Anolis sagrei: one gene and its partner. The protein of the gene in region 2 interacts with the protein of the main gene of each other region in a biochemical or structural test. Links are inferred from orthologs where the notes say so. Each region holds a gene or a part of one and is shown on either strand. Other genes may lie near its edges.

What was found. The genes of interacting proteins can lie anywhere in the genome.
Region 1: the proteins of CCNA1 (region 2) and MYBL2 form a complex in vitro, tested with the Homo sapiens proteins (2 studies listed by BioGRID, with this or other methods). The link is inferred for Anolis sagrei from reciprocal best matches to the Homo sapiens genes CCNA1 and MYBL2.

What each region holds. Positions count from the first base shown.
Region 1 is NC_090024.1:212,223,379-212,233,606, reverse strand, and holds the start of MYBL2 (myb-related protein B), read right to left. Parts: upstream 5,006-10,228; 5' UTR 4,781-5,005; coding exon 4,761-4,780; intron 2,692-4,760; coding exon 2,604-2,691; intron 1-2,603. UniProt on the Homo sapiens protein: Transcription factor involved in the regulation of cell survival, proliferation, and differentiation. Transactivates the expression of the CLU gene.
Region 2 is NC_090023.1:35,420,503-35,431,073, forward strand, and holds the start of CCNA1 (cyclin-A1), read left to right. Parts: upstream 1-5,718; 5' UTR 5,719-5,788; intron 5,789-8,813; 5' UTR 8,814-8,836; coding exon 8,837-8,992; intron 8,993-10,571. UniProt on the Homo sapiens protein: May be involved in the control of the cell cycle at the G1/S (start) and G2/M (mitosis) transitions. May primarily function in the control of the germline meiotic cell cycle and additionally in the control of mitotic cell cycle in some somatic cells.

The sequences.
Region 1 (10,228 bases), on a different chromosome or scaffold from region 2:
TTGCCATTTGCTATATTGAGTGGAAGTTCTTGGGAATCAAACACCAAAATATTTGAAAATACTGTATGACAGCAATATTTGGGGGATCAGTACCAACTGTTTCACTTAACCACAGCCAAAAAAATCTCTTTGACATTTTCTACGTCTTCCAATATAATGGAAGGAATGTGTTCTCTCGTTGGATTTTCTAGGTCATCCAGTGGAATTCTACATTGTGCTTTGGCCAGAAATTGATCATAGAGTTGCAATGGAGGACCCACAAATGCTAGAGTACTGTTCTCTTTTGGCAGTTTCTAGGCCCTCCAGTACAATTCTATGGTATGCTTCCGTCAGAGGTGGTTCATTTCAATAGAGTTAACTATTATCCACAAGTTTTTGTTTCCACTGTAAGTCTGGAAATATATTTCCTGCAGATATGTGGGCCATACTGTGTAAGCACCCAAACTCTGGGCTATAGTAAAGAAAAAACAAACAAAGCCATCACCCCACCACAATCACCACACTTAAATCAGTTTGACACCACTTTAATTGCCTTGGTTCAATGGTATGAAATCATGGGAATTGTAGTTTTACAAGGTCTTTAGCCTTTTCTGCTGAAAACCGCTGGTCCTTACTGTAACGAAGCGTTAATCCCACCAATATTCTGTGAGGAACCTTCTTTTAAATATCAATTAAGCTGCCACCAATATGTTTAGAGACGCTGGTTTATGTCTCTGTTTATCCTTAGTTGTGTTGTGAGGTGATTTTGGTAGTGTGGAATGCACCAAGCATAGAAGCAATGGAGGAGGCAGGTTTGAAATACAAAGAGAACAAGTTTTATTGTTAACAGAACGTAATTGTTGCAGTTTTGAGAATTTGAACTTGGCACAAGGCTTGATGTTACAAAATGGCTGGTTTGAGATACTTTCAGGCTTCTGAATGTTACAAATCTACAAACTCCTTCTTTAGTGAAGTGCTTATACTATCTCAGAGTTCCCTATTGTGAATATCCACACGGTTTGCCCTATACTCGGAACAAACCACTGATCACCAGTCTTTCCTTACTGGCAATCCTGAAAACCCCCCTCTGTTAGATTCCTTTAACCTAAGCAATCTAACAAGGTAACACCTTCAGCTCTCTTGCTGAAGAAATATTCACAAATTCTAGGAACTACTGAATTCTCACAGCTTCACAACAGAGCCCTAACTGGCTCTCCTCTTCCCCGGGTCTCTTCCACCGGACTAAACTACTTTCCCCAGAGTCCTTTCTTGACTCTGCTATTTCCCAGAGCCCTTAACTGGCTCTGCTCTTCTCCGGGTCTCCTCCACCGGACTAAACTACTTTCCCCCAGAGTCCTTTCTTGACTCTGCTATTTCCCAGAGCCCTTAACTGGCTCTGCTCTTCTCCGGGTCTCCTCCACCGGACTGGAGCTTAACTGCCACTTTCCCACCTTTTTCTCCTTAAGCTCCGCCCACCTTCTCTGAGGCTTTGTCTTGTCACCATGGCAACCTATCCCTCACAGCTAGGCCATGGCAATAAATGTAATACATAAATGCAGTTTAAACACAGTACATTAAACACTCTATAATAAACATTTCTCTACACTTACTAAACTACAACTCCCAGAATTCCATAGTATTGAGCCACAGCAGTAAAAGTGAAATCAAAGTGCAATAATCCTACAATGTAGATGCACTCTTAAGTCTACAAAAGTCTTATGCTACCAGCTTCATTATTTCAGTTATTCGCTAAGGTGCTGCAAGATCCCGTTGTATACCGATGTTCCAGACCATTGATTGATAATACATATCCTACCTTGCTTTAATTCAGTGGTTTCTCATCCTGCGGGTCCCCAGATGTTTTGGCCTTCAACTCCCAGAAATCTGAATAGCTAGTAAATGGGATGGGATTTCAGGGAGTTGCAGGCCAAAATACCTGGGGACCCACAGGCTGAGAACCACTGTTCTAGACCAATACGGCAGCATCTTTGAATAGCTGGACAAGGGAGATATCCATAGGATTCCTATTTTATTTATTGAAATTTGACAGTGCCCTTCCTGCCAGAAGTAAAATACTGGCTGCAATTGCTAAGCCCCCTTCAGGCATGTAGCCAGGGGGGGGGGGCTCGGGGGGCTTCAGCCCCCCCCCCCCCCCCGAAATTTTCATGGTGGTTCGCGAAAAAGCCTTAATGGTGCATTATTTAAACTGTTATGTTTATTCATATCATGATCTGATCACCATACTCAATATATCCCATATGCATGGGGGTATTGGGGTAACGATACAAAAGGTTTGCTAGGCTAGCCCCTCTTTCACTCAGACTCAGCCCCCCCCGAAACTCAGCCTCCCCCCGAAACCCCCCCTGAAAAAAAATTCAGCCCCCCCCGAAACGAAATCCTGGCTACGGGCCTGGCCCCCTTCTACAATGTTATATATCCCAGGATCTGATCCTGGGATATAGGAGCAGTGTGGAAGGGGCCCAAGGCAGATGAGACTTCTGAAGGACCATAAATGCCCCAGCTTTTCAAGTCAGGACTTCTCATAATAGCTCTTGATGAATGTCGCCAGAGTGTTTCCCATCCCACTCCATACCTTAACCCCCAAAATCCCCACAGGACAATACCTCTTCGCGTGACCATTTGACTTTGCACCTGTTGTCCCGCCGTTCCTGAGCATCTGAGTCTTGACTGTGCAATTCATCTTGCTCTTCACTAGTTTTAAAAGAAAGGAAGAGACACTTTGTTAACACAATATTGAATTACCTTGTTCATCAGTTGAGAATTTAAGCTTTTCTCATTCAGCAAAAGGTTTAGTTGACCTCCAGCTAGAGTGCTCAAGAGCCTGGACATTCCAATTGCCTAGCTTCCAACAGACCTCATGACCTCTGAGGATGCCTGCCATGGATGTGGGTGAAACATCAGAAGAGAATGCTTCTTGAACATGGCCATACAGCCCGGAAAACTCACAGCAACCCACCTATTAAAATATTGCTAGTTGCATCCATCCATGCAAACAGCAGTGATTTTGTTGAAAAGTGTGCTTCCTAATGTTACTCTCAACCACAGTAGACATAATGAATTAGAAGGATTTGCAGAAGGATTGGCTTACAGATCATCCAGTTGACTATGTGGGTCTGTTAATTGGATTTAGGCCCATATAGATAAATCAAATTAACAGACCCACTGAATCAACTGGATGATCCGCAAGCCAACCCTTCTGTGACCAGCAGTGCTGTGGAATTCGAAGAGGCACAAATGGAGGGCAAAAGGGAGAAACGTGCTAAGAAACGTCCTTCCACCTGGAAACCAATGTCCTCACTGGGAGAGAACATGCAGAACAGCCACCTACGAACCCACCAGACTTGGAGGACCATCATCCTTGGCCCCCGAGAGATTGCCTAAGTAAAGAAGGAATGTCCAGGGAGGAAGAAAGAACTCTTGTCTGTTGGAGGCAAGTGTGAATGTTGAAATTGGCCACCTTGATTAGCATTTAAATGACTTTGCAGCTTCAAAGCCTGGGCGATTGCTGCCTGGGGGAATCCTTTGTTGGGAGGTGTTATCTAGTCATGATTGTTTCATGACAGGAATTCTCCTGTTTCTTGCAATCCTCTTTATTTACTGACCTGATTTTAGAGTTTTTGAAAGAATGGTAGCCATATTTTGTTCATTTTCATAGTTTCCTCCTTCCCGTTGCAATTGTCCACATGCTCGTGGATTCTTTTAATTGCTTTCTTTCAATAACTTTCTCATGACCTCCAAGGAATCTGAAGTTTGTATTTGTTACAAGACACGGGGTGCATTTATACTAAATTTGATGCAGTCTGATACTGCTTTAACTGCCATGGTTCAATGCTATGAAACCATGTGAGTTGTAGTTTTACCAGGTTTTTAGCCTTCTCTGACAAAGAGAGCTGGTGCTCCAGCAAACTACAAATTCTGTGGTTCTACAGCATGGCAACTAAGAGTTAAAGTACATTAATTTTACAATGTAAATGCATACTTCCTTTTCAGTGATTGGAAATGCATTGCCATTTCCTCCATTCAGGTGTGCTGGGGGAAGGGAAGAGAAAGAGCCCTTCCATATAGCCATATAGCCCAGAATATCAAGGCAAAAAATATCCCACAGTATCTGCTTTAAACTGGGTTATCTGAGTCCACACTGCCATATATTCCAGTTTAAAGCAGAAAATGTGGGATTTTATTCAGCTGTGTGGAAGGGGCCTAAATCCCAGAATATCAAGGCAGAAAATCCCACATTATCTGAGTGTGGACACAGATAACCCAGTTCAAAGCAGGTATTGTGGGATTTTCTGCCTTGATATTCTGGGATATAGGGCTGTATGGAAGGGGCTTAAGTAATCTAAAGATTTCACACTGAAATAATAGTTACCAAATCGATCTAGATAAAAACCCAAGCCCTTTAAAATAAATCGATCAGGGAGGACCTTCCTTTCCCCTTCCTTTTTTGGCGCAAAGAGAATTGAGTTCCTCTCCCGCCTTGGAAATTCACGCGGGCCATCTGGAGCACCCCTTAAAATATTGCACCCAAATTAAAATAAAATAGAGCAACCTCGCTTTCAAATTAAGTCATCCATGGAAACCATAGGATCACTTCCACTATTGTGGGGGATACATCTCTCTTTGCTATGAGAGAAATTACCTTTTGGGGAAATGGCCAGGAAATACCCCCCCCCCCCACACACACACACACACTTATTTCCCTCTTAATCAAATTTATAGTATTTAAGGCAATATCATTTTAACCCCAATGCAAAACTCACCAGCCAACCTTGCGGGACATCCTGTTCTGTTCTAGATTTAAAAAAAAACAATTAGGCAAGAATATAAATTAAAATAACGATCCCAAAGAAGAAGAAGAGGTGGATGAGGTTATAGCAGCAGCAGCAGCAAGAGCAACAGTGCTGGCCACCATTGCAAGGAAGGAAAGGGGAGCCCAGGATTAGCGCGCGCGGATGGCTCGCGCCCGCCCGGGTCTCCAGAGCAGCAATTTTTTCCTATCTCGCGCCAACCCCGCCCCCGGCTGCCAGCCAGCCAACCACTTTCTTCCGGCGTGGTGACGTCCCGTGCGCGCGGCGGACGAGAAACGAAAATCTATTGGACCTGGGGTGGAAAGAAGCGGGGCCAAAGTGGCGCGCGCGGGCAAAGTTGGGAAGCTTCTGGTTTAAGAGGCTCAAGTCAGCAGATCCTTCCAGCTGTGCATCATCCCAAGCTAGTAGCGATCAATATAATCAGATGAGCACTGTGGGTTCCTCTTTTGTAAATTTTTAATTAACTAACTTCTTTCATTCCTTCTTTTTTTAAAAAAACTCCCACATAGAGTTCATCTACACTGTAGAATTGATGCAGTTTGATACCTCTTTAACGACCTTGGCTCAATGCTGTGGAATCCTGGGATTTGTAGCTTGGTGTGGCACCAGCAACTGGCAGACCTTGTAAAACTGCATCTTTCAGAATGTCATGGAATTGAGCTATGGCAGTTAAAGTGGTAAGAGATAAAGGAAAAGGTTTCCCCCTGACATTTAGGCCAGTCGTGTCTGACTCTGGGGTTTGGTGCTCATCTCCATTTCTAAGCTGAAGAGCCGGCATTGACCGTAGACACCTCTAAGGTCATGTGGCCGGCATGACTGCATAGAGCGCTGTTAACCTTCCCACCAAATCATCATCATCATCACTTTATTTCTTAATTAGTCGCTTTCCACCAAAATGCTCCAAGTGACTTATAATTTAAAATAGCTTATTTGTTGTTCATTCGTTCAGTCGCCTCCGACTCTTCGTGACCTCATGGCCCAGCCCACGCCAGAGCTCCCTGTCGGCCGTCACCACCCCCAGGTCCTTCAAGGTCAGTCCAGTCACTTCAAGGATGCTGTCCATCCATCTTGCCCTTGGTCGGCAAGGGCAAAATAGGGCAAAATAGCTTATATACAATATAAAAACATTCAACATAAAAACATTCAATATAAGAACATTCAACATAAAAACATCCAAAGGGGTACCTATTGATCTAATAACATTTGCATGTTTTTGAACTGCTAGGTTGGCAGAAGCTGGGCCTAACAGCAGGAGCGCACCCCGCTCCTAGGATTCAATCCGCCAACCTTTCAGTCAGCAAGTTGAGCAGCTCAGCAGTTTAACCTGCTGTACCACAAAATACAACAATAAAGTCTGAAATGACTTGCTCACAACAACAATCCTCATTAACGTGAGTCTCATCAGCCAAAGGCAGGCCTACACTTCCCATTGAAATACTGGCAAGTTTATGTTGGTTAAAATTATTCATTATTTTAAATAGTGTATTGTTCTTTCGAGGGGCCGTAATGGTGCAGTGGGTTAAACCACTAAGCTGCAGAAATTGCTGATTGGAAGGCGGTGGTTCAAATCCAGAGATGGGTGAGCTCCCGCTGTTAGCCCCAGCTTCTGTCAACCTAGTAAAAAGGTAAAGGTTTCTCCTCATATTAAGTCCAGTCGTGTCCGGCTCTGGGGGTTGGTGCTTTTTCTAAGCCAAAGAGCCGGCATTGTCTGTAGACACCTCCAAGGTCATGGCCAGCATGATTGCATGGAGCGCTGTTACCTTCCCACTGGATCGGTTCCTATTGATCTACTCACATTTGGATGTTTTCAAATTGCTAGGTTGGCAGAAGCTGGGGCTGACAGTGGGAGCTCACCCCACTCCCCAGATTCAAACCTGCGACCTTTCGGTCAACAAGTTTAGCAGCTCAGTGGTTTAACGCACTGTGCTACCGGGGGCTCCAGTTAAAGTGATACCAAACTGCATTAATTCTACCGTGCAGATGCCCCCAAGGAAACAATACAAAAAGCAGATCTTCGTTGGTAGAGTCCACTTTAGCCACCATGACTCTACTATGTCCAGTATCTCCCGGAACCAACACTATTGCTGGACTTAATATCATCCACAATATGATGATTCTTTTATACAACAATGCATCTTCTGCATAGGATGTACCTTCATTTCCTGGCAATGCCCTCTTGTATTGTTACACCGGGTTTACAAACCCATCTTGGGAAGGGGGGGGGGGGGGAGAGAAGAAATAGCCAAATATCTGACATCTGAAATAGTAATATTAAGTTTTCCATTGATACATCCATTCAATTAACAAACTTTTGCCACACAAGTCTTATCTTAATATACATTATTCAAAAGTCACTTTACCTTAAATGACGCTGTGTGTATTAATAACGTGCATTGTTTAAGGACCCAACTATCTGATGAAGACTCCTGTGAGTCAAAACCGGTTGAATGTTATGTAATAAAGAAAATAGGACATTTGGGTTGTTGTAAGTTTTTTGGGCTGTATGGCCATGTTCTAGAAGCATTCTCTCCTGACATTTCACCTGCATCTGTGGCAAGCATCTTTACTGTGCAAGGATTTGGAGTTTACTCGTCTGTAGTAAAGAGTCAAGTACTATTTCCACACATGAAGAAGAATTTTTTAATTTTTCGAGAAAAGAACAAATTATTTATTGTTAAATGTGAATGCAACAATCCTATGTTTTACTGACATTTGTATTTGCATGTATACATTGAGCTTCTGTGTGTTTAGATACATTTGCATCACTGCAATTAGTGGATACTGACCTTTTTAATTCCAAGGGAACCCATTTTTCTTTGCTTTTCAACACTGTATGGAACCTAGAGAGAATTCTTTGTCAGAGAATTTTTGGGCCTCACTAATTACAAAATGCAAACAATGTTGCTATGGCATTTACAGTGGTGTAATAATAATAATTGCATACTGCAAGTTGCTTCTGGCGTGAGAGAATTGACCATCTACCAAGATATTGCTCAGGGGATGCTCAAATGTGTCTTCTGTTCGGATATCAACCAGCAAGCCAATGCCCTAAATCAAGAAATAGCCTCCTAAGATCTACAGAGATATTTGCAGGAACACCTCAGCAAGCAAGAGTCCAAAAGTGGCAAGTTAAAACCTGGACCCTCAATCTGAACAGACTGCGCTCTGGCACCACAAGACGCAGAGCCAATCTTAAGAAATGGGGCTTCAAAGTGGAATCCATGAAATGCAAGGGTGGAAAACAGCCCTACACAATGGACGACCCTCTTACAGTGACACTAGAGGCACTGCAAGTGGCCAGCTTCTGTTCAAAAGAAATTTAGTATAATGCCAAGTTTTTAACTTTGTGGTTTTTTGTGAATTATAACTGTATTCTCAATTTGCTTTTGACATTACACATACACACACAATTATTCCACCATTAATCCCATGACATTATCACAGTGTAGTGATAAGAATCTCAATTTGCTGTATGAACATGTATTAATCCCAGCAAACCATCATTACATCAAACACATGGTGATCATTCTTGAATACGACGAACAGAGGAAAATTGACACAGCTGAATAAGAATTCATCAGGAAGTTCTCCTGTGACTCAAACTGTAACAAAGGGCTTATTGCTGTATGTGTTAATCAACCTCCTGTCAATCAACAATACTACTGTTAAGATGACATCAACATGCCTTTTGCATTTGAATTTCCTTTGGCCACGGTGGCAACTCTTCCCCACCCATTCTCCTGCATAACAGTCTGCCAATTTAAAACGTCACCTTCTCTAGCTCAAAGGGAAAGAGAGAATAAATTTGTTCCCAGTGCCACATGTGATTTAATTGTAATTCTTTACTTCAATATTCTATATGGCCATTCCACACAGCCATATAGCCCAGAATATCAAGGCAGAAAATCCCACAATATCTGCTTTGAACGGGGTTATCTGAGTCCAAACTGCCATATATTCCAGTTCAAAGCAGAAAATGTGGGGTTTGGAAGGGGCCAACAAGGAATCTTGTAACACTTGGGAGAATAACACATTTTATTTATCATAAGTTTCTGGCAGGTTTAATAGATACAACCAGATGGGTTGAGGAGTCTGTAAAATATTATGTTGAATAAGACATTCCAGTCCTCTCTAAAGTGCAACAGGACTGTTGAAATATTGCAGTTAATCCCATCAAAGCCATGCATTCCTGTAGAAGATAACTTGTTAGGTGACTTCCTGACATCCAAAGAAAAGTTTACACCTCCAGGTAAAGTAGATATTCTTCCTCAAATGGTAATCAACTTAACTTTACATACATAAAGGGAATATTTATCTATAAGCAAGAAACCACACATATCATGAACAGTATTTTGCTTCGGGGGGGGGGGGGGACGGGGACAACATCACAGTATTCCAATACAGACAATAAGGGCTTGGGAAAGCTACTTTTTTGTATTGCAGCTCAGTTGTACTCTAAAAAGTAACCTTTCAAAGCCCTGCATAGAAGCATATTCAGGAACTCGCCAATGAAGAACCCACTTTGCTCCATTACAGAAATGTTTTGCGATTTAAATGAACTCATTTGTTCATTCCAAATAAATATGCCTTTCCCAGTCTCTGATATAAACATAAAGTAGTAATGCTGTAATTTCTAGAAGTTTAAAACAGAATAGGAGAGTTTAAAAATTGCATTAATATGTTTTGGTACCGAGTACAGAATTGGTACATTCCAGCAGCCAATGTGCCATTCATCCAATATTCTGTACAAGAAGACAGGTGTCATAGGAAGACAAGTCAGAACAATGCCATAGTTTGTCAGAATTTGGTATTCATAGCCTGTGCCTTTAGATGGCACTGTTGTGCTTCATAAACTAAGAAATATTTCTGTATTTCTTCCTTCTAAGGCTACTTCCACACAGCTGAATAAAGTCCCACATTTTCTGCTTTGAACTGGAATTTATGGCAGTGTGGACTCAGATAAACCAGTTCAAATCAGATATTGTGGGATTTTCTAACTTGATAGTCTGAGATATAGGGCTGTGTGGAAGGGCCCCCAGACATATTTCTTTTCCTATATTGTAAAGGTAAAGGCCTCCCCTTGACATTAAGTCTAGTGGTGTCCAACTCAGAGTGATGGTGCTCATCTCCATTTCTGAGCTGAAGAGCCAGTGTTGTCTGTAGATGCCTCCAAGGTCATGTGGCTGGCATGACTGCATGGAGCACTGTTACCTTCCCGCCAAAGCGGTACCTATTGATCTACTCATATTTGCAAATTTCTAGGTTACCAGACGCTGGGGCTTTTCCTATATAAACACCTCTAAAATGGAATGAGTCTTAGGGCCCTTCCACACAGCCATATAACCTAGAATCAACCACAATATCTGCTTTGCACTGGGGGCTCTTCCACACAGTCCTATATCCCAGAATATCAAGGAAGA
Region 2 (10,571 bases):
CATCACATATCAAATCATCAACATATGACAATAGATTAAAATCAATAAAACTATAAAACAATAATCCCGATGTTATCTTTAACTATTTCCATATTTCTGTCATTCAGCAAATGCCTGATTGAATAGCCAGGTCTTGTTTCCTAAATGCTAGGAGGAAGGGGGCTGATCTAATCTCACTGGCAAGGAAGTTCCACAGCCAAGGGGCCACCACTGAGGAAGCCCTGTATCACATCCCCACCAGTCGCACCTGCACAAGCATTTCAAATATTCAATGTGTATATAATGCAGTGCTATATTCCAACTGAACTGCCATAGCAATAGCCTATGCAGCCCTATTTTTTTGCAGTTGAGAGAGGGTCATTTACAATTCAGACTACATAGCCCAGGATGCCACAGGCAGTAACCATAGTGAAGTCGATTTCTGCCAGTCTTTCAAATCCTCCCGTTTCTACACACAGCATAAACTGAATTCCGTGAGCAACTCATGAAATGGGAAATGCATCATTTGATCAGCTTCGTGGGACTCTGTCTTGGAAGTTTGTAGAAACAGAAAGGGAAAATCAACCTATTTAACAAGCCTTGTAAATGCTGATTTGTTACCAGTAAATGTTTAATATTTTTATTCCTATTTCAAGTAACTGTATACTTGGGGTCATGTAAACATTTCTCTGGCTGAAAGGAGTCATGGTGGAAAAGTTTGTAAAGCTCTGCTACTGTGGTATAATAGAGAAGGTTATCAAACAGAAGTTTCTGTTTGTATCTTAACCTTCTACCATGGATGAAGTATTCGTCTTTTACTTCCAGTTAAGGATAGAATTTGATTTGCTGTAAAATGCATAGCCAAAAAAAGTGTTTTGATTGCATAGCAAAATACAGCCAGCCCTCTGTTATTACATATTACATATTGACATATTCAACTGTCCATTGGCTTGAAAATATCCCCCTCCAAAAAAAAAAAACATTTATATATTTATATTTTGCCATTTATATAAGGCACACCAATTTACTACAACATTGTATGCAATGGGACTTGAGGAGCCTGGGATTTTAGTATCTATGGGGAGTCCTGGAACTAAACTCTAGGACCCACTGTTCATCCTTTTTGGCTTCTAATGGAAGTTGTTCCTTTCATCAGCATTTATAATTATCCACATTCCTAGAGAAGTATCCTTTGCTAGTTCAAATTTATGTTAACTTCTTATGGGTTAGCCTGAAGGACCTAGAAAAATGCCAGAGAGGCCCTACTTTGTCAAATGCGGGTAGGTAAAGCTGCAAATGCCAATTCTACAGTTACAGAGGTCATACTAAAGTGAGCTCAATGTACATTTAATGCTCCATATATATTCACATCCTCAAGAAAGAGAATGCCATGGACTGCAGTAATCATGGACTGTTACCCAGGAAGACCAAAATGCTTGTTTATAAGGCTATTGTCCTCTCAACCCTGCTATACGCCTGTGAAATGTGGACCATCTACAGACTTCACACCCAACTCCTGGAAGAATTCCATCAGCAATAATAATAATAATAACTTATTAAATATTCTGCCCTATCTCCCCAAGCGTTGTTTCTGAAAAATCCTGCAAATCTCTTGGGAAGACAGGCGGACAAACATCAGTGTGCTGGAAGAAGCAAAGACCACCAGTATTGAAGCAATGATCCTCCGCCATCAACTCCACTGGACTGGCCACGTCTGAATGCCCAATCACTGTCTCCCAAAACAGTTACTTTACTCCCAACTGATGAACGGAAAATGTAATGTTGGTGGACAGGAAAAGAGATTTAAAGATGGGCTTAAAGCCAACCTTTAAAACGGTGGCATAGACACTGAGAACTGGGAAGCCCTGGCTCTTGAACACTCTAACTGGAAGTCAGCTGTTACCAACAGTGCTGAGGCCAAATGGAGGGCGAAAGGAAGAAACACGTCAACAGGAAGGTGCATCATGCCAACCCTGACCAGGACCGCCTTCCATCTGGAAACTGGTGTCCTCACTGTGGAATAACATGTGGGTCAAGAAAAGGTCTCCACAGCCACCTACGGACCCAAGGCTTGGAAGGCCACCATCCTACTCAGATGTGAGTGATTGCTGCTGCTGCTGCCCTGGTCTCCTATACATGCAAAGGGATGCTTAAAATCTTACAAGAAAAGACTTTTGCTACATATGAAGCAAGAAAAACCAATGTCTAAACTGCTTTTTAACAAAAAGGCAAACTACTAAGAGTTATTTTTTGCAAACATATGTTGAATAATGGAATCACCTCTACATTTTAGGGGGGAAATCACCTATGCCTTTATTTATTTGCTATATTTAAAGCCTGCCTTTCTGAGCGATATGGCAACTCAAGGCAGGTTACAGGCTAGCACAATTCCATGCCATACATTCACAAAAGAGCAATTAAAAACAATCAACATAACCATATATATATATATATATATATATATATATATATATGCCAATAAAGCATGTAATCCTTTGATTGCAACAAAGCCTTTGATTCTGCAAGATATAATTTATCCAAGGCCACCCATAGGGTTTGCTCTAAAAGAAATAAAAATGTCAGTTTGCTTGACTTGATGTATTATATTTGTCAGAATTATATCCTGACAAAACTGCCACTAGAATGACACAATATAGAGAAACACTGGCAATGGGGTCAAAGCAGATCACATGCAAAGCAGGATTAGACTCAGAAGAAGGTGGCATCAAAAGTGAGGGAAGGAAGACCAGAAATGTAAGATATGGAGTTGATCCCATTGCAGAATATAGCAAAGACTTTGAACGAGTATTGATGGCAGTTAAGGAAGGCAGTTCAAAAGCAGAGTTAAAGCTAAAAAAAATTAAAAACCAAAATAATGACCACAGATGCTTTACATAACTTTGAAGTGGGTATATTGAAGACCTCAAATAGTGAAAGATTTTCCATAATTTGACTCACTCATTGATCAAAATTTAGATAGTCGAGAAACCAGAAGAAGGATAAAACTTGGAAGAGCAAATATGAAGGAACTAGATAAAATAGAGAGAGAGAGAGAGACAGACAGACAGAGGGCTAGTACAAATCAGGACTGATCTGTCAATTGAATGCCTAGCTCTTTAAGCAGCTCCTCATAGGGCTTGTTCTCCAGACCCTTGATCATTTTCGTCGCCCTCTTCTGGACACATTCCAGAGTGTCTGTACTGTAGAATTAATGTCGTTTGACACAACTTTAACTGCCCTGATTCAGTACTGTGAAGCCTTGGGAACTGTAATTTGGTGAAAGGCATTATAAAACTAAACTGAGCCATGGCAGTTCAATTGGTGTATAGCTGTGTTAATTCTACAGTGTAGATGCCCCCAAAGAAGCCACTGCCCTGAGTTTAGGAGACTTGAGCAGGACATTTGATGAGTGGGGCTCTTGGAGGTCTCGCATTCATAGATTCACCATAAATCAAAGTCAGCTTGACAACATATAACAACCACAAAGAGCTCAAGCTTCCAGCTGCACCTATAGATTAGCCCTGCTCACTGTGGGAGCTCCAGCTGTTGTTCTTGCTGCTTAAACCACCTCTCCAAACACAAGAGGCTTGAATAAAACATTCATTAAAAGAACAGCCCTGAAAATCTCAAGCAGGGAGTCTTAAGTATCCTCTCAAACACATAGAGGGAGACCAACGGAAAGCAAAGCATAATTAATTTCTGTTGAAACTAACAGGAAAACAATGGCAAAACTTTACTGCTCTCGGATTAAAACCTAGAACTGAGTCACACTTTGAAAAATGCCTCCTGGGGATTTTTAATACCATTTTATTTCCTTGCATAGCCTACATGCCAAATGTATATAAATGAGCAAATTAATTCTACCAGGTCAGTTTATAAGGAGGCAATACCTTTATTAGGATTAACGACGCTTCCACAACAGTGAACGGCATTTCCAGTTCTCCAGAATGCATCACCAGGCTTACTTGAAGTTAATTTAAAAACAGTCAATTTAAACAGTTCATAAATAAATAAGTCAAACCACTGCCATCCTAGATAAAGCGTTCTGGAGAATACAAAAGGTTGCACCCTGTTGTGAAACTGTCCTCAGTCCTAATAAAGGTGTTGCAGGCATGTGGGTATATATCTAACTCAAAATATTAACAATGGCAAACCATAAATAAAATAAAAATATTTCTCAAAATGGAACAAAACATACAGTAAGATGAAAAAGTATGTTTATTTTTGTGCATGTCCACTTTATTTCTATTTGAAATGTGTTCTTTGACTGTGATTTCCTGCTTCTTGGCAGGGGGTTGGACTGGATGGCCCACGAGGTCTCTTCCAACTCAGTGATTCTACCATATTCACATATCTAAATTCAGAGCCCACTCTCCTGACTAAAGAGAACAAACTGCAGCCTTCTAGATGCCACTGTATCCCAATTCTCATCAGCTCTACTCATGATACCTAATGATGAGGAATACAGGAGTTGTAGTCCAGCATCCAGGGGGACACATGAAATGACATGACGGGCCGGATTCCACCTGCAGGCCTTGAGTTTGACATTTGTGATGTATATTGCACAGTGAACTAAGCTTGTCACGACCTGGGGTTGCCTTCTCAAGGCTACAGAATCCTGGGATTTGTAGTTTGACAAGGCCTTCTTTGCCAGAGTGCTTGTGCCTCAATAAACTGCAAATCAAAGGATCCCATGGGGTATAAATATAGTAATAATAATAACACTTTACTTTACTGGCACAAGCCAGTCAAGGTGGGCCCAGTGGTGATTGGCACATGGGTGCAGTTCCTAAAGACCTTGTTCTGCACTTAAACACAATTGGCACTGACAAAATTACCACCTGTCAGCTGCAAAAGGCTCAGATCTACACGCATTATTGGCTGATACACCACACAGTTGTAGAGACTTGGGAAGTGTGATCAATACAACAGCCAGCATAGTGATTTTGTTGGCTGTGTACAAATCTTGTGTTTCAAATAAGCATTGAGCCAGGGCAGTTCCCAGTGGTGTCAAAACTGGATTACTTCTACAGTATATAGATCAGGCATGGGCAAACTTGGGCCCTCCAGGTGTGTTTTGGAGTTGAAGTCCAAAACACACCTGGAGGGCCCAAGTTTGCCTATGATTAAGCGGCTGAGGAGGGAACAGAAAGGATCTGAGGCCAGGAATTTTGGGAGTTGAAGTTCAACACACACCTGGAGGGCCTAAGTTTGCCCTTGCTTAAGCGGTTGAGGGGGGAACAGAAAGGGCCTGAGGCCAGGAATTGTGGGAGTTGAAGTCCAAAACACACCTGGAGGGCCCAAGTTTGCCCATGCCTGATATAGATGCACCCATGGAGGCCAAGGACCTCCTTGGGTGCATTGATCTACCCTGTAAGATCAACTCATTTTGAACTGCAATGGCTCAAGGCTATGGGTTCCTGGGAGTTGTTGCTTCACAAGGTCTGTGGCTGTGCCCGGGGAGAAAAGGACCTCGGGACACGCGACGAGACTGAGCCACGCGTTGTTGTGGTGGTGGTTTCTCTTGCGGGAAGGGGCCTAGGCTGGCTCTCCCTGGGCTTCCCTGCCGCATGCCGAGGAAGGAGCGAGAGGCTCCAACCAACAGCCATCCCCAACAGACAGTCGCGGGCGGCTTCCAAGTAGCGGCGGAGGAAGAGGCGGCGTCCGGTCCTCTATATAGGCTGCGAGGAGGGCGTCCCCACGGGCCATTCGCAGTCCCGGCTTTGTTTCGGAGCCTTGGCCTGCTTTGGGTTGGGACAGGAGAGGCCAGGAGGGAAACCTCCGCTGCCAGCTGGAAAGGACGCAACAGGTCGGGGACTGGGCGGCTGCGTCATAGAAATGGGTCTCCCTCCTTTGGCAGGGAAATGCGGGGCAGAAAGGAAGCGGGGGGGGGGGGGGCTTCTGCTGGGGAGCATGGGAAGCCCTTCCAACCTCAGACCCCCACCAGTGGGCACTTGCTCTTTGGGGAAACGCCAGGCAGAAGAGGAGGAGCAAACTTTTCTTTTATGGTTTTTTAGCCCTGTAGAGCAGGCAAGGGCAAACTTTCTAACTTGGGGGCCTCCCTGCTAGGAGGAATGACTGCCTGGTGATGGAAGGAAGGAAGGAAAGAGAGAAGGAAGGAAGAACGAAAGGGAGGAAGGGAAGGATGGAAGAAAGAGGGAGAGATGGAAGAAGGGAGGAAAGACAAAAGGTAAGGAAGGAAGGAGAAAGGGAGAGAGGTAAGGATGGAAGGAGAAAGAAGAAGAGAGGGAGGAAAGGGGGAAGGAAGGAAAGATGAAAGGGTGGAAGGGAAGGGAAGAGGAAGGAAAAAGAGAAGGGAAGACAATAGGGAAGGAATGAGAAAGAGGGAGAGAGGGAAGGAAGGAAGGACAAAAGGGTGGAAGGAAAGGATGGAAGGAGAGAGAGAGAAGGGAGGAAGGTAAGGAGGAAGGAAAGAAAGAAGGAAGGAAGGACAAAAAGGAAGAAAGGAAGGAGAAAGGAAGCTTATAGTTTTACAAGGTTTTGAACCTTCTCTGCCCAATATTGAGTGCTGGTCCTTCACCAAACTGCAGATCCCAAGATTCCATAGCAGGGAGCATGCTGCCAAACTGCATTAATTGTACAGTGTGAATGAAAACTGCAAGGCTCAATGCTGTGGATTCCTGGTGGTTTGTAGTTTGGTGAGGCTCTCATTGTTAAAGAAGGCAAACTGCTGAACGACAAACTCCCATGATTTTATAGCATTGAGCTATGGCAGTTCAAGTGCCAAACTGCATTACTCAGTGTATCGCAGACCTGGGAAAACATGGGGCTTCCAGGCTTCAGCCCCCCCCCCCCCCGAAATTCTCATGGTGGTTCGCAAAAAGGCCTTACTGGTGCATTATTTAAACTGTTATGTTTATTCATATCATGATCTGATCACCATACTCAATATATCCCATATGCATGGGGTTATTAGAAAACGATACAAAAGGTTTGCTAGGCTAGACCCTCTTTCACTCAGACTCGCTCCCCGCACCCCCGAAACAAACTCAGCCCCCCTCCCGAATTGAAATCCTGGCTATGGGCCTGCTTCCAGGTGTTCTGGACTTCAACTCCTACAATAACAACAGCCTCGGGCCCCTTCCTTTCCCCCTTTAGCCGCTTAAGCTTAAGTCCAAAACACCTGGAAGGCCCAAGTTTGCTCAGGCCTAGTGTATAGTGTCTACAAAGCCATGGAAGTCACTGGGGGAAATTGGACCGACTTTTGCCTGAACTACCTTTTGAGGTTGCAAGGTGGAGAAATAAACGTGTATGCTGTATTGAGAGTATTAGAGGAAGGATGGGAGTGTAAATGCACCTATTTCCCCCCCTCTGATTCTTTCCAAGTGAAACATGTTTTTATGATTTGAATACAACAGGAATACCTCTGGAAATAAAGCAACAGAGTTGCAAACTGTTTGGAAACATGACCTGTTGGATTCTGCAGGACATACTCCTGGGAACACTTAAATATCTCCTCATCTTTTGATGTAGTCATTTGGAAGTAAATGCAGTGAAACCTGGTTCCACCTGAGGTCCTTAAACCTTAGGATCTTCAGCTCCATTCCCCTTAAATCACTCTAATCCCATTGGTTCCAAACAGATGGATTTGGTTTGAGAAGGGAGGGAAGGAAGCAGGTGATGGGTCAGTGACACCAGTTTGCAGTTTGGGGGAAGCTGCAGGTAAGTTCATATAATGCTCCGGTTTTAAGTTTTGGCATTATTTAATTTCCTGATATGTTTACTGATAGCCTTTGACATGGCTATCAGTATGTCTGAATGAATCTGTGGTCAAACTATACCCAGTATTTTGCTCGTGAGGGCCACAGGGATTGCTTGAAAATTGAGTATTGTAAGAAATAGCTGAATGTTTACTCCAGGTTTTGAAAAACAAGTAGCTTTGGATGTTGAATAAGGCAGTCTTGCAACCTGTAAACCCCAAGAAGCAATTCATCCTTTTCTTGGCATGAAAGGCCATCTGAGGAATCTGGGAGGTTTAATTGCTGTGAAATAGCTTTGGGAAGCCACTTACCACCTAGGATAACATGCTTATGATTCTCACTGAAACAGGATGCCTCTCAACAAAATGTTTAATGTATTTGTATATATTTTAACTAGTACTGATGAAAGAGCCAGAATGGAGTGATAGTTTAAGTATTGGACTAGGACTCTGTGAGGCCAAGGTTTGAATTGCTACACTGTCTTGGAAACCCAATGGTTGACCTTGGGAAGGTCACATGCTCTCAACCTCAGAAGAATGCAATGGTAGGCCCCTTCTGAACAAAGCTTTTTTAAAAAAAAACAACCCTTGTGATGGGGTTGCCATAAATTGGGAGGGGTTCAAAGGCACATGGCCTTTGGCGTTCCATTCTGGAACCAGTTTGAGGCCCAGATGGTGATTACACAAATCACCGAGCACTGAAGCACATTTAGGGCTGTCTTTCTTGCACTTTTTGTGGAAGTTTGTTGTCTAGCTGCCACAGCCTGAAGCTTCCTTCGAACGTCATTGACCAGTCAGTGTATAAGGGGCCAGCAGCAGCAACTAGAAGAAAGGTCTGATTAACCTTTTCTCCAACCTGCAGTCTTATGGATGTGAAGCACAACAAATCCCACCATCCCTAGGTGTGAAAAAGAATGGTTATTTTAGGTCAATCTATCTGCAAGACTCTAAGTTGGGGGATGATGCCATTAATAAAATTTCTTCAATACCAAAGGCAAGCATTCAAAAGCAGAATGCACTTTGCAGGTTTTTTTAATAAAGTTAAAGCACCAGGCTAGAGATCAGAGCTGTTATCATGAAAAATAACTAAATGTGTGTTTCCTTTTCACCCCAGCATCAGTTGCTGTCCTTGAGAAAATGAATCCCAGCAGCAAAGAGAAAGAGAAGGAACAGGTGGGGTGCTGGGATGACCTGTTGGAAATGGCTGAGCCTCATGCCCATCAAAATGCCCCTCAGAGGGCTGTTCTGAGAGAGATCTCTGAAAATGGACAGCGCCCGAGACCCTGTGCCCAGGTAAATTGGGGAAGAGTGGGCTTCCTAGGAAACTCATGGCACAGTCAGTTTGGTCTGAGCAAGTCTTCAACCTCTTAAACTAAATGTTGAGAATTGGTTATGGTGGATGTTTTAAATGACTATCTAGACATCTTCTCCTTATTCTGCAAACTGATTTCACAAATAATCAGTCAGTTTGACCAGCATTACAGTCAGCTCTCTGTATCCATGGGTTCTGCATCCATGGATTCAACCATCCAATGGCTTGAAAATATTCCCACTATAAAAGTTCCAAAAAGTAATTATTGATTTTGCCATGTGATATAAGAGACACTATTTTACCATATTATGTTATATAATTGGACTGATTTTGGTATCCACGTGGAGTTATTATTTTACTTACTTACTTAGGTGATCTCTCATAGTCCAAGGATGATGGTCCTCCAAGTTTGGTGTTCTGGCAGTGGGTTCGTAGGTGACTGTGGAGCCCTATTCTTGATTTGCATCTTCTCCCACAGTGAGGGCATCGGTTTCCAGGTGGAAGGCGGTCCCAGTCGGGGTTGGCTTGATGTGCCTTCCTCTTGGCACATTTCTCTCTAACCTCCATTCGTGCCTCTTCAAATTCTACATCAGTGCTGGTCACAGCTGACTTCCAACTGGAGTGCTCAAGGGCCAGGGCTTCCCAGTTCTCTGTTTTATGCCAGAGTTTTTAAGGTTGGCTTTGAGCCCATTTTTAAATCTCTTTTCCTGTCCTCCAACATTCAGTTTTCCATTCTTGAGTTCGGCGTAGAGCAACTGCTTTGGGAGACGGTGGTCGGGCATCCAAGCAACATGGCTAGTCCAGTGGAGTTGATGGTGGAGGACCATCACTTCAATGCTGGTGGTCTTTGCTTCTTTAAGACCACAATGTATAATCTTTTAGTAATTCCCTTATTCAAGACATCACTCTATCCAATGCAGTTTTCTGAATCGGCACCCCAAAAAACCAAACCAAATCTAAAGTTGATAAACTGATTCATAACCCTTTTGGTACTAATGTTGGAGACTGATCTCTGGTCAAAGTAGTCCCTGTTCAAAAAAGGCTGGGAAACAGTGGAGTAGGAGAAAGTATCACATTGCTGAATGCCCTTCATTTTATGTATCTAGTATTGTATTCCTCATCTGAAACCCATATTTGTGGTTTTCAGATGTTTGGAAACTGGGCATAGCTTTAATCTTCAGTGATCCTCAGTAGAGATTTTATTTATTTATTTATTTGCTATATTTATATACCGCCGTTTCTCAGCCTAGCCGGCGACTCAACGCGGTTTACAACATAATATAACAATCAACAGTAAAAAAGTTAAAAGCATAAAAAACATAAAAAACATAAAAACACAATTCATACATCAATACCAATCCAGTTCGACTCTTAACTAAAAACGTGATCCAGTTCGTCATCCATGTTGCCAGTCCTTTAGTCAGTTACCATTCGTTGCATTGGGTTAACCAAATGCCTGCTTAAACATCCAGGTCTTCAATCTTCTTCGGAATATCATCAATGAAGGGGCTGATCTTACCTCCAAGGGCAGGGCGTTCCACAGAAAAGGCCCTGTCTCTT